4 linked regions of the Yarrowia lipolytica genome follow. Each later gene encodes a partner of the first gene's protein in a complex. Links are inferred from orthologs where the notes say so. Each region holds a gene or a part of one and is shown in the gene's direction. Other genes may lie near its edges. The genes, in order: YALI1_D10033g, YALI1_D14276g, YALI1_D28213g and YALI1_C28063g.

Region 1 (2,890 bases):
CGTCTATATCATTCATCGAGTGGACCCTACCCCACATCGGATTTATGCGACGTTGATGAAAAAAACTGGTGCATGAGTTGGGTGAGTTGTGCTATGCGAGTACCGGTACGAGTACGTTGTATTTGTACCTGTAGTATGATAAGAGGGAGGGTGTGTTGGTTTTCTTTTCTTTTCTGGCAGTCAGGAAGCCAGTGTCGCCTCTGTTTCAGTTAGTTGCTCCGATGTTGTCTTTTGACCTTGAGCAGTTATTAGGATGTTTAGATACTGGTAGCAGTGTTTCACGTCTAATTTACAGTACTGTACCTGTAGAGAGGTCCATAACAAGACGGTGAGAATGCCATAATCCACCGTCTATGTCTGCGAATAATGGAGATTTCGGGCTGTACAAAAGTGGAATCAATAGTGTAGACACGGGAAAACAACATTAGCAGTCTGTTTTTCTGCAACTTCACCCCCAACTACATTTCGTCCGACACTCGTGGTAAATCCGATAAATCCGACGCAAAAAAACACGGACAACGCCAAAACCTAGATTTCGTACATAGGTTACGCTCTGCATCGTGAAAGAAATATCGCATCCTGACTTGTCCCCCAACAACACCATGCTCAACCAAATCACATTTTTCAACAACTACACGACCACAGACTACATCCGGTTCCTCATCATTGTGGCCGGCTACATTCTTCTGCGACCGCGGATCATGGGAATGGTGAAGAACTACCAGACCAAGCAGATGATCAAGCGGGAGCGAGAAGAGCTGGAGAAGACGCGAGCTGCCCGAGCCAAGGGCGAGCTCGAGGAACCTGAAGATGAGAAGGTGGCCTCCAGTATCGCCTCTGGATCCGGATCTGGCTGGGGAACCGCTGCTCGATCCCGAGCCAACAAGCAGAAGAAGGTGCTCCAGTCTGCCATCGACAAGCAGGAGGAGATGGAGCTGGTCAACGAGAGTGACGAGGAGATTGCCGATTTGTTGGTTCCCGAGGAGGAAGCCCACATTTTCGACAAGAAGGAGTAAATATCGAGTCCATGAGCGATGTTAATGGAAATGAATGGACTCGACCTCTTATACAAGGAGATACCTGACGTGTTCTCTTACACTAGCTGGAGAACCCGGTAAGACCTCTTCAAAAACACCATCTTCCACCAACCATAAAAACAGTACCCTTGACATTTCAGTAATATATTTGTATAGACATCGTGTTGGTTGTATTTTGCACGAGTATCGTATTGTAGGTACTTGTACATACTATGGCAATGTTATGATTTTGACTAAGCAGGAATGTAGCATGTAGAAAGGCACAATAGGGGTTTTCGGGGTGTCGGTTACCTACAAAGGGCCCTCGGAACACATCCATCCATCCATCCCGTTCCCTTTCCCCTCTTCCATGGCCCATTCTATCCACATCCCTCCACTTGACTTCCACTCTGTCCAGTGTGCACTCACACCATTAAACTTATCATGCATGCATTTCGAGGTCCAATTTTTTTCCCAATCTAAAATTATTTCCATCTGAGGCAAGGTCGACTTTGGGGAGTGTCAAAAGAGGGCAAACAAGTCGAGAGAGAGAAAAAAAAACACACCATCAACCACGTCAGCAACATACAAACGCGATCGATCATCACTTGATTCGCTCTAAACCACACCACAGCTTCCTTTAATCACACACCACAGCATGTCATTCAGACGCCCAGCCATGTACCAGCTCGGAATCGAGACTGGTCCTATGGTCCCCACAGATCTATACCCTCCGGCCAACGTGCCTCTTCAGGATCCACCCAGCGCATCGGAGCGAGAGGTGGCTGCACAGTTTTATAAGTTCCAGGCTGAAGTCAGAGACGGACCTCTGTACACAGGCTCAGTGGAGGTCAAGACGGGGCCGAACGGACAGAAAAAGGCGTCACGGATACTCATCGAGGTAGACGATGCGTGTGATGACGGCATCAGACGATACACGGATCGGTACAGAAAGAAGCGAAAGGTCGGTCGGTCGATAGATGAGCATCCGTATATTCTGGAGCTGTTCCCCCAGGAGCTTCACGAGGCCATGGGAGCAAAGAAGGAGGCTGGAGAGGATGTTAAGCGTCGTCGAGCGGGTATTTCCAAGTTTGCCAACTCGCTGATCCAGGCGGACGAAGCCGATCTGTCGCCTGTGGAGCTGGAGGCACGTCTCAAGGCCCAGCAGGCCCTGACCATGGTGGATGACAAGGAGCTGGAGGCTCGTCTGGGCCAGGAGGCAGCTGATTCTGAGGAGGAGGAGATTGAAGATGATGTCTACGATGACGAAGATGATAACGATTACAATGCTGAGGGATACTTCGATAACGGTGATGAAGATGATGATGATGGAGATGACGACGAGGCCAACTTTTAGGATCTGAACTGAACCAGACCCAAAAAACTACAAAATACGCCCCCTGTTTTATAGATTATTAATTGAAGATGAGTATTTCACTTTCGACGTAGCGAGAGAGAGCAGTATCTATAGCTAAAGCAGTATCTACAGCATTGGTACACTGCTTCTCGTTATACTAGAACAGACGCATTGCTACGATACTCAACGCGTTGTCTACTTTAGCCACCCGTATATAAACCAACTAGAACGTAGCTACCTGTACGGCCCACACAATAAGTTCTGTAGATTATCTATACAAATATGAGTACGTGTAAAGCACGTGTTATGTGAGACACTTGAGTGTGTAATGTGTGTGTGTGTGTGTGTGTGTGTGTGTGTGTGTGTGTAATGAGTTGGCTTAATAGCCCTGGTAGCCATCATACTCCGGCTCGGCTACGTAGTACTCATCTCGAGTCATGCCGAGAGGAATCTTGGGAGGCAGCTGGGGCTTGCGATACATTTCCTGAGGAGGAGGAGGTCGACTCACCTTCTTCTT
Region 2 (3,088 bases), about 420 kb from region 1:
GCTCCAACAACAACACAATCGTACTCGTGGTCGACGACGGCGTACTTGGACGCCACGTGGGAGGGGGCCTCCTGGGCCTTGACGGGGCCGTTGGCGAAGACCTTGGCCACCACCGGGGAGGTGGAGAAGTGACGAGACTTGAGAACGGCTCGGGGGTTTTTGATAGCTCTAAGCATTTCTGTGTTAGTTGTGTTGTGGGGTTTTCTGCAGGCGTTGTGGGGTGGAGAGGTGTTTTGCGTATTCCGGTAGGTAGAGAATAGTTGTCTGGATGATTTACTGCAGAGTGGTCCGCAGTGACTGTATATAGTGGTTGTGGTATCAGAGGGTGTGTTGTGGGGATAGACTGTGAGAGCATCGGCGGTTGACAGACTGAAATTTTCAAGACAGTCTGACATTCAGAGTATCCCAGCAACTGGGTGAAAGAAGCAACACCGGTCAGGTTCGCGTGTACCTTTAAGCATTGGTTCTTGTTTCACTGAACTCGTGTCTGTACCACTTGCTCTCATTCACACCTCACATATCCACATGTCACACTGAATGTGTTGTCTAACATACCACGAGAGAACCACCAAACCATGGCACCGACAGAAGAGTGGACCATAAGAATGATGCTGCGAAGCATAGGCTCCGTTGTCATCGTCACGCCAACGCACTTGTGATAACCTCTCTCCTTCACGCTTGCCAACATGCTCGCCACGCGTACAGCCAAACAAGCTGCTGGGTGTCCCACTTCTCCTTTTGCCGAACGAAAAACCTGTTGCACTGAGAGATACCGGGCAAGACCGTCCACATCGTGGGTACGAATGGCTGCCGTCAATGTGCCTCGAAGCGCCCCGTCCTCCGCCGCGCAATTTGCTACTCACCGACTCAGATCGACTTGTATGGTCTAACCAAAAAGAGAGAGAGAAATAATCTGCGTGCGGCCAGTTGAAAGCCCACCGAGCTTAGGTAATGCGGGCCATTGGCCAATGACATGCGACCTAATACTCACCAAACAAAGTTTGGACACGTCCGGGATGAACCGGATCAAGATTCGCGGTGTTTAATTGGCGGGTTCGGCAAGACGAAGACGTGGAGAATCCGAATTAATTTATTCACATACTTTATGGGATACTTTTCCAACTCGCCAGGTGTCACAATCTTGACGGTAGCCCCACGAAACCTCTGGGGTATGACCACACCCATTCGCACCATGTCCTATTGGGCTAGGCTTAACCCCCGTAAGGTTTTCCGGAGAATTATTGTGGGGAATGACGGAGACACTTTTTAGCAGCAACCCCTAAGGAAAGGAAGTGCAATACGAGTGCCAACGCGGCGGTTGTGAGGGTTGCGGGCGTTCCTCCAGCTTACGTAATTGCTTCTTCTGCCCGTCTCACAGTACCGGTACGATCCCCGTTACAATCACAGGCTTAGAACACCTAAAATACGACTGCTGGGTGACCATGCCTCTTCAACGACTTGGGGGCGATCCTACTGTCGGGCTGTGGTTGACGTTTTTTTGTTGGTCGGTCGACATATCGGCCCGGGTTAGGGTAGTGTATAAATGGCACTAGAGCTGCTCGTATCCTCCGCCTCGTCGACGGGTGTCATGGCCAATTGCGTTGGGTTTAATTACCTTGGGAGTGGCCTGGGTTTTTTTTTTTTTTTTTTTTTTTTTTTTTTTTCTTGTGTGTTTTGTCAGTACAGTATGTGTGAATATTCGAAATTAAGGTGCTAAGGTGTCCGAATGGAGAAGAGCGGTTATCTCCGTATTTCTAGGAGGTTATTCCGCTTTGGGAATTTGTACGTTTGTCCTTATTAGGGGTGACTATCGTGGGCACTGCTGGTACCGACTCTTACTAAGCGACATTGGGAGTTGTGTAGAAAAAGTGAAGATGTGGTTAGGGATATGCAGTGCGATGCAGACCTTAAAAAATATCCAGCTACACCGTGCAACTATCATCAAGATTGTCTCTGAGTTGGGTCTCATCCATCGCAATGTTCATTCTCACGCGCTTCACAGATCTCATTCGACTCGATCCCACCAGCTTCAAAAAGCCGCTCAACGACGCTATTGTGGACGAGATTAACAACTGCTACGCTAACAAAATCATCGACGGAGTGGGTCTGTGCATCTGTGTCTATGACCTGATCACTGTCGGCGAAGGCCAGGTCATGTCCGGCGACGGTGCTGCATTTGTGAAAATCACCTTCAGAATGGTGGTTTTCCGGCCGTTTGTGGGAGAGGTACTAGAGGGCTGGATCTCCAGCTGTACCGCGGAAGGAATCAAGGTGAAGATGGAGTTCTTCGACGACATTTTTATCCCCGCACACCTGCTGTTTGAAAACTCGCAGTTTGTCGCCCGAGAACAGGCCTGGATGTGGTGTCCTGACGAGGAGCAGGAGCTGTTTTTGGATACCAACGAAAAGATCCGGTTCCGAATCGAACAAGAAAAGTTCCAGGACCTGCCTCCACTCAAGCAGGGCTACGCTGGAAGTGCTGCTCCTAACGACGAGCAGGACCCCGAGAAGCCAGGTGTTCCTCCTTACTCTCTGATTGCCAGTTGCCAGGGAGAAGGCATGGGTCTGGTGTCTTGGTGGGAGTAATCAACAGAACCATGTTCCTTCAGGTACATCTTGGTTGACGGTTGGAGGAGGATATATATATGCATTATTAGGTGTTCCGGACAGCACTCTGTATTCCGGGCACACTCTTGTGCTCCTTGGAGTATGGACACAAGGCAAACAAAAACAAACAAGCAAACGCAAAGAAAAGGACTGATTATGAAATAGGACTGCTAAGAAGCAGTGGGGTTTTATATAGATAGACAAAGTCACAAATCGCATTTTTATACAACATCAGGAATTACGTATCATCGACCTCTATCAATGTACTTGCGGCCAGTTACCTCGAGTGACGAGATGGTCAACCGCTCAAAAACGATTGAGGATAAGCATTACATACAAGTCTACGTTGTCTGTTACAGCACAAAGCGCGTCTCTCTACTCATTGGTACAAGTGCTTGTACCATTATCATAACATCATCTATTATTACCTCTATCTTCACAGACTAGTTGTACTGCATGTACTGAGAAGTACTGCTAAACT
Region 3 (3,094 bases), about 1.8 Mb from region 1:
AAAAGGGAATGTACAGCTTTTTCATGCCCATCTTGTCGTCAAATGCAACCACCATCTTATGGTCCATAAACTCCTTGAGTTTCTCCTGGAAATCCTTCTTGTTAGAAACCGTCAACTCGTTAAGACACTCCGTCAACACCTTGTCATAATCCACAGAAATGGACGTACTTCCTGTCAGAGCACCCACCTCGGCCTCAGGCAGCTTTCTCTTGTCAGCCACATTGTGAAACTCCTCCAGCTGACAGTAAATGAGGTTCTTGTAGAGACTTCGATGGTTCGGAGTGACCGACTCAAGTACATACTTGACACCCTTGGCACCCTGGGCCTCAGCCTTCTTACCAAGCAAAAGCGGATCGTCAAACGACGTTTCAACCGTGTAGGGAGCAAACGTGGTCACATCATGCCACACAAAATTGTACGAGGCCAGCTTGGCAGAGTCCCACATCAAAGGAGCCATAATATGATCGACAGATGCAACAAACCAGATTTGAGAAATACTCATGAGCTGAGACAGATGAGTAGACGCCTTGTCGATCCGCAACGACTCGCCATCAACATTGTGACACAAGACCACCAACGACGGCTTTGAACCAGCTTCAATATCTCGCATAGTGTCAACCACCAGTTTCACCAAGAGATCCACATCCTTGGGCAGTTTGTTTCGTACCACAAAGCCCTTTTTCGCAAAGATGTCCTCATGATTCTCGTAGAGAACGTCCACCACGCTGTTGAGCACCGACTTGAACTGGACAGACGCATTGTATCCGTTGATGACAAGAATGGGGATTTCCGAGTCCACTTTTTCGCACACAAAGTCAGTCAGTAACTCCCTCTTGCTTCCCAGACCATAAAACAGCAACGAAAACCCTTCCGAAAGCTCGAAAATCCATTGCGAGAACATTCCGCGGTAAGCATGCCGCAGCATCTTCTTCTGGTCGGCATGAAACAGCTCATTGGCCTGGTTTGTGTACTTAAAGAAGACGGAGTGGTCGATGGCAGGCGCCTTGGCCATGGTGTTGGCGTTACCTCGTCCTCGGGTCTTGTGTTGGTCAAAGTATCCCTCTGAAGAGTCCAGGAACAGAACGCGGTCTTCAGCCGCAATCAGGGCACCCACGTTGGCCAGCGACCGTTCGTCGGTGTGGAAGTCGTTGGACGAGTCGAGAATCGGAGCCCGGCTCTCTCCAATGATCCGTTCAGCCAGCTCAATTTCATCTTCGTCTTCGCTCACCAGTCCCAGAGACTGATCCAGTAGTGTTCTGTTGGCCTTTTTTCGCGCCGATTTGTCGTGGAGCGACCGTTTCACCGGTGACGGCGTTCCCGGTGCCTTTCGAGGCGACGCCGTCCTTCTCGGCGTCTGTTTTCTCGGACTCGTGGTCTTTCTTCTCTTGGGTGTGCTCACCTCGTCTTCAACCTCAAAGTCCTCATCGCTGACGTCACTGGTGTCCAGTCCGGAATACGAAACTGGTGCTTTTCTTCTGCTCATGTGATGAATGGTACAACTAGTCGGTGCGGGCGCCGTCTGGGGTTTGTCGCCTCTGCGGTATGTATGTCGTCCAGTGGTGATGCTCTAACGGTCAGATTAAAAAGGAACCGATAAACAATCTCTTGGTGAACTCGAACCCCGGTGCTGGATAAGTGTCGCCGTCTCGTCGCTCTAGTGCGCCGTATTGTATTGTAATGGTGGTGACAATCACTGATCAAAACTCAGAGGTGCATGAGAAACGCCCACCACCATTTTTATATTTTGAATTTCAGACTTTTTTATTTGGTTTTTCACACCAGCACAGACGACACAAACACAGGATGCTAACGTTTTGTCCCACTTGTACAAACATGTTGACGGTGAGTAGGACGGGGGGATATTGAGGGCGGTTGCTGAGTCAGGATTGGGCCAGGAACGACCAGATCATAGGTCGCGTGGATGAAGGCGAGATGAGACGAGACGAGAAGCGAAAGGCGAAAGGCGAAAGGCGAGGGGCGAGAGGCGAGAGAGGGTGAGGTGTCAGAAATCATTTGAAACTTCTTTATCACTAGTTATGTGCAATTCTACTCTTCTCTTACGGTTTTTTGCAGATCAATGAAGTGGCTAGTCATCGACCACACCCGAGAGAAGAGGTTGCCGAGTTCGATCTAGGTTGAGATTTGTCTAAAAGTATTTGTGTGCGCATCTACCGTCCGCTTTTCTCCTTCACCGCATCTACCATGTCCCCATCTCGTGACTGATCTCGTTGCTGATCCCGTTACACACTCCACTTAAGCATGCTGAATCACCATTGACACTCCATATACTAACTCAGCTGTCGACCAGCGGAAACGGCATGCGGTTCGAGTGCCGGACATGTCCCTACGAGTACTACTTGCAGGACGGCACCATCGTGTATGACCGAAAGGTCCTGGAAAAGAAGAAGGTGGACAGTGTTCTCGGTGGAGAGAACGCCTGGGAGAACGTCGACAAGGACCCTGGCTCGCAGTGTCCCAAGTGTTCCAACATGGGTGCTTACTTCTACATGTTGCAGATTCGGTCTGCGGATGAGCCCATGACCAAGTTTTGCAGATGTACGGCCTGTTTCCACCAGTGGAGAGAAAACTAGTGAGCTTAGACGTGCCAAACACGTTATGGGAAGGATAGAATGCATGTAATATATTTATGATTGATTGTCTGAGTGTAGAGAGTGACTGAAGACCTGGAACCGATCGATGGAGGTGTCAACAGAAGGGAAAGCCCAGCCTGCGATTATAAACAAACTCCGGGCTCGGTAACAAACACTTCACTTCTTGTCCTGTGTCCCTGAGAGTCTCCAAGTCTTCAGCAGAGGAGAAGTCGTTTGAGATTCATTCGTTAACAGAGGTTCACTCGGATGTTACTGGCCGTACTGTACATACTGTAGGGATGTTGCCAGATCTACCCAAGTTCAGTATCGTATCGGGAGAGCTAAACGCTCATTTTGCCCAAGTGGTTCGCTCCAGTGGTTCGCTCCATCATCATTTCTCTGTCAAATGACTTGGAGTCATTTCAGAACGCCTTGCTCACGCTCTGGTCAAGCCCCCAGAATACCCATGCCCAGTTTGCCGTCCAAAACCTCAAGAAAGCTGG
Region 4 (2,593 bases), on another chromosome or scaffold:
ATTGAAAGCTCATTACAAAGTACAGTACTGTAGGTGATTTTTTTTGGGGATATTACAGTAAACCTCTTTTACACCCATCCTTACCTCATTACCGGACCCTGCCCGACACTGTCCTTGGTTCTTGATAACTTTGGACACTGGAGTCACGAAGCTCTTCACAGAGCTGAAGAAAGAGGAGGTTGAGGATCTACATATGGAATAATGCTGCTGGGGGGAACATTGCGGTAAAAACTTAACCCGGTGTGATTTTTACCCTGACTTAACTGTCTTTTGCTCCACTCATGTATATGACTCTCCTTTTACCCTCGAATGAAGATGCAGAGTCTGCTGAAGCTCCTACTCCATCTTCAGGCTCACCCTTTAATGGACCCTTTCACTAATCCCACCTCGCCCCGGACCATTAACATACAATCAAATACATTATATACATAGATACATACAAGCAAGCAAGCAAACAAACAAAACGTTCCTAACCCTCCTTTCAATCACCCCGGAACATGGGCAAGGAAACAGAGGAAGAGTAATAAGTAGACGGGTTAACATCCATGTGAGGATGGGAGGTAGAGTGGTTGAGTGAAGGAGCCGATCCAGACATCATCTGCTGGATGATGGACGCCTCCTGACGCAGGTTTTCCACTCCCTTGGCCATCTTATTGATGTTGGACGAAAACTCATTCTCCATAGCCTGACGCTTGGCTTGTCGTTTTCCTCGCTCAGCCATGAGTCGCTGCAGACAGTTGTCGAGCTCCCCGCGGTACGTGAAGCCCAGCAAGATACTAGTGATTCTTCCGCTCCCTTTTTGTCGGCAGCAGCACACTTCAAATCCATCTCATTCTGCGCAGCTGAATGATGTAAATTTCTCAGAAACGGCACAGCTGAAGTACATACAGCTACCCTACTGTACGTTCGAGATGAGATGGAGAGACAGGGGGCTCGCTCTTATCGCAGCTTTTGATTGCCCTGCGGTAGCGACAGCTGAAGGAAATGTCTTGTTTGAGACCCACTGCGTAGGGGCTATTGCGTCTGAGGTCCTCGTATGAACATCCCGAGCGTCTTCAGGACGAAACATTGCACTAGCCTTTCCCCTTTAAAACAAGGAGTCTTGCGAAATCTCAGATATCCAATATTCACCTTCGCAGACATCCCATATTTACCTTCGCAGACATCCCATGTTCACCTTCTTAGCCGTTGTGCTATGAAGGTGGCCATGGGGTGACGATGAAAGTCGCATGTTGTACACAAACTCGAATAGTTTCGTCTAGTGTATCGTATCAACTTTTCTACCTCTTCGATTAACACCAATATGATCCTTGTAGCACTCAATGGTCTATCTGAAATGATATGATATCAGATCAGATGCTGTACCAGAAAGTATACTGATCAGAAGCACACTATTAACGGTCTCTCCTTTTTATTTCACACAATTCTAAACTTTATTTTATAACACTCGAACTCGCTGAATTCAGCCGCATTCACTGAAAATAGCTCGCGAAAACGAATATTTTCCAGCTCGTAACCTATATGAAATCCTCCACTCATCACAAAATGCTCTCAAACTCGTTTGATGCTCTTTCTTAAGTTCTCATTAACGTCTCAAAATCTTAACCTTCCATTCAATATACACCTCCAAATCAACAATCGTGAACGAGATATCTTTGATTACATAATCCAACGAGTAATTACGTGACCAAAAGCATGGATATCGCAAATAAATCTCACTGCGCGAAATAACTTCAATCTTGTCCTTTGCTCCACCTCTCGCACAGCTTACGCCTACCGCTCACAGTCTATGCTTAGTAACAAACCTTGTCAAAATATTTTAATTTTGTATGCAGGAATTTTCGCCTCCATCTTCAACTTTGCAACACAACATGAACAAGGAATCGTTTTCTCCTTCGCTTGATTCGCAGAACCTGTCTGCCTCCGCCTCCGGAGTGGCCAACAACAAGTCGTACGCCGTCAAGTACCTGTGTGCCAACTGTTCGTCCAAGGTGGTTCTCATCCGAGGCGATCCAGTTCGATGCAAGGAATGCGGTCATCGAGTTTTGTACAAGGAGCGGGCCAACTACACTGGTGAGTAAAGCGGGTGTGCTATAGATGCCGTGGCGACGTCGCGGTGGGTGCTACCTCCAGCGTTTGATGGTGTGATGGTGGCAAGCTGGGTCACAGTGTGTCATGAGAGAGAGAGTGAAGAGGGGATACACTGCGCGTGACACGGAGAGTGTGATGAAGGAGAAGCGTCACAGGTGGCAGTGAAGAATCGACAGGAAGAGATTGGACTCAACGATTCGTTTATGGGGTGATGGGCTTATTTGGAGATATGAAACATTACGAATCGACACAGGACAGAATATGGGCCACGGACGAATCCGTGGTTGAGGGCTGAAGGGCAGCATCATGAAAAGTGATGGAAACGTAGCTACTGGATCTGGATGTTGGTTTGATGCAGCAGATTCAACAGTTCCGTTCAGACAACAAATTCCAGTGAAGCGATACGTGGATAAGGTCGAAAAGTTGTAGGTCATCCGTGGCGACAGCAAGAGTGACCTATAATGTTTCTTCTGGACCATGGATAGTGCTCCAAACCCAGTGT

What was found.
Region 2: YALI1_D10033g (region 1) and YALI1_D14276g share a complex: the UniProt entries of both Saccharomyces cerevisiae proteins name them as parts of the RNA polymerase III (Pol III) complex. The link is inferred for Yarrowia lipolytica from reciprocal best matches to the Saccharomyces cerevisiae genes RPC31 and RPC25.
Region 3: YALI1_D10033g (region 1) and YALI1_D28213g share a complex: the UniProt entries of both Saccharomyces cerevisiae proteins name them as parts of the RNA polymerase III (Pol III) complex. The link is inferred for Yarrowia lipolytica from reciprocal best matches to the Saccharomyces cerevisiae genes RPC31 and RPC11.
Region 4: YALI1_D10033g (region 1) and YALI1_C28063g share a complex: the UniProt entries of both Saccharomyces cerevisiae proteins name them as parts of the RNA polymerase III (Pol III) complex. The link is inferred for Yarrowia lipolytica from reciprocal best matches to the Saccharomyces cerevisiae genes RPC31 and RPC10.

Annotation. Positions count from the first base shown.
Region 1 is NC_090773.1:1,001,696-1,004,585, forward strand, and holds YALI1_D10033g (uncharacterized protein), read left to right. Parts: upstream 1-1,674; coding exon 1,675-2,373; downstream 2,374-2,890. Other genes in the region: YALI1_D10022g (uncharacterized protein), read left to right, coding at 603-1,016; YALI1_D10067g (uncharacterized protein), read right to left, coding at 2,753-2,890. UniProt on the Saccharomyces cerevisiae protein: DNA-dependent RNA polymerase catalyzes the transcription of DNA into RNA using the four ribonucleoside triphosphates as substrates. Specific peripheric component of RNA polymerase III which synthesizes small RNAs, such as 5S rRNA and tRNAs.
Region 2 is NC_090773.1:1,425,679-1,428,766, forward strand, and holds YALI1_D14276g (uncharacterized protein), read left to right. Parts: upstream 1-1,977; coding exon 1,978-2,586; downstream 2,587-3,088. Other genes in the region: YALI1_D14260g (uncharacterized protein), read right to left, coding at 1-395; YALI1_D14300g (uncharacterized protein), read right to left, coding at 3,051-3,088. UniProt on the Saccharomyces cerevisiae protein: DNA-dependent RNA polymerase catalyzes the transcription of DNA into RNA using the four ribonucleoside triphosphates as substrates. Specific peripheric component of RNA polymerase III which synthesizes small RNAs, such as 5S rRNA and tRNA.
Region 3 is NC_090773.1:2,820,475-2,823,568, reverse strand, and holds YALI1_D28213g (uncharacterized protein), read left to right. Parts: upstream 1-1,803; coding exon 1,804-1,842; intron 1,843-2,297; coding exon 2,298-2,591; downstream 2,592-3,094. Other genes in the region: YALI1_D28221g (uncharacterized protein), read right to left, coding at 1-1,483. UniProt on the Saccharomyces cerevisiae protein: DNA-dependent RNA polymerase catalyzes the transcription of DNA into RNA using the four ribonucleoside triphosphates as substrates. Component of RNA polymerase III which synthesizes small RNAs, such as 5S rRNA and tRNAs.
Region 4 is NC_090772.1:2,804,483-2,807,075, forward strand, and holds YALI1_C28063g (uncharacterized protein), read left to right. Parts: upstream 1-1,829; coding exon 1,830-2,081; downstream 2,082-2,593. UniProt on the Saccharomyces cerevisiae protein: DNA-dependent RNA polymerases catalyze the transcription of DNA into RNA using the four ribonucleoside triphosphates as substrates.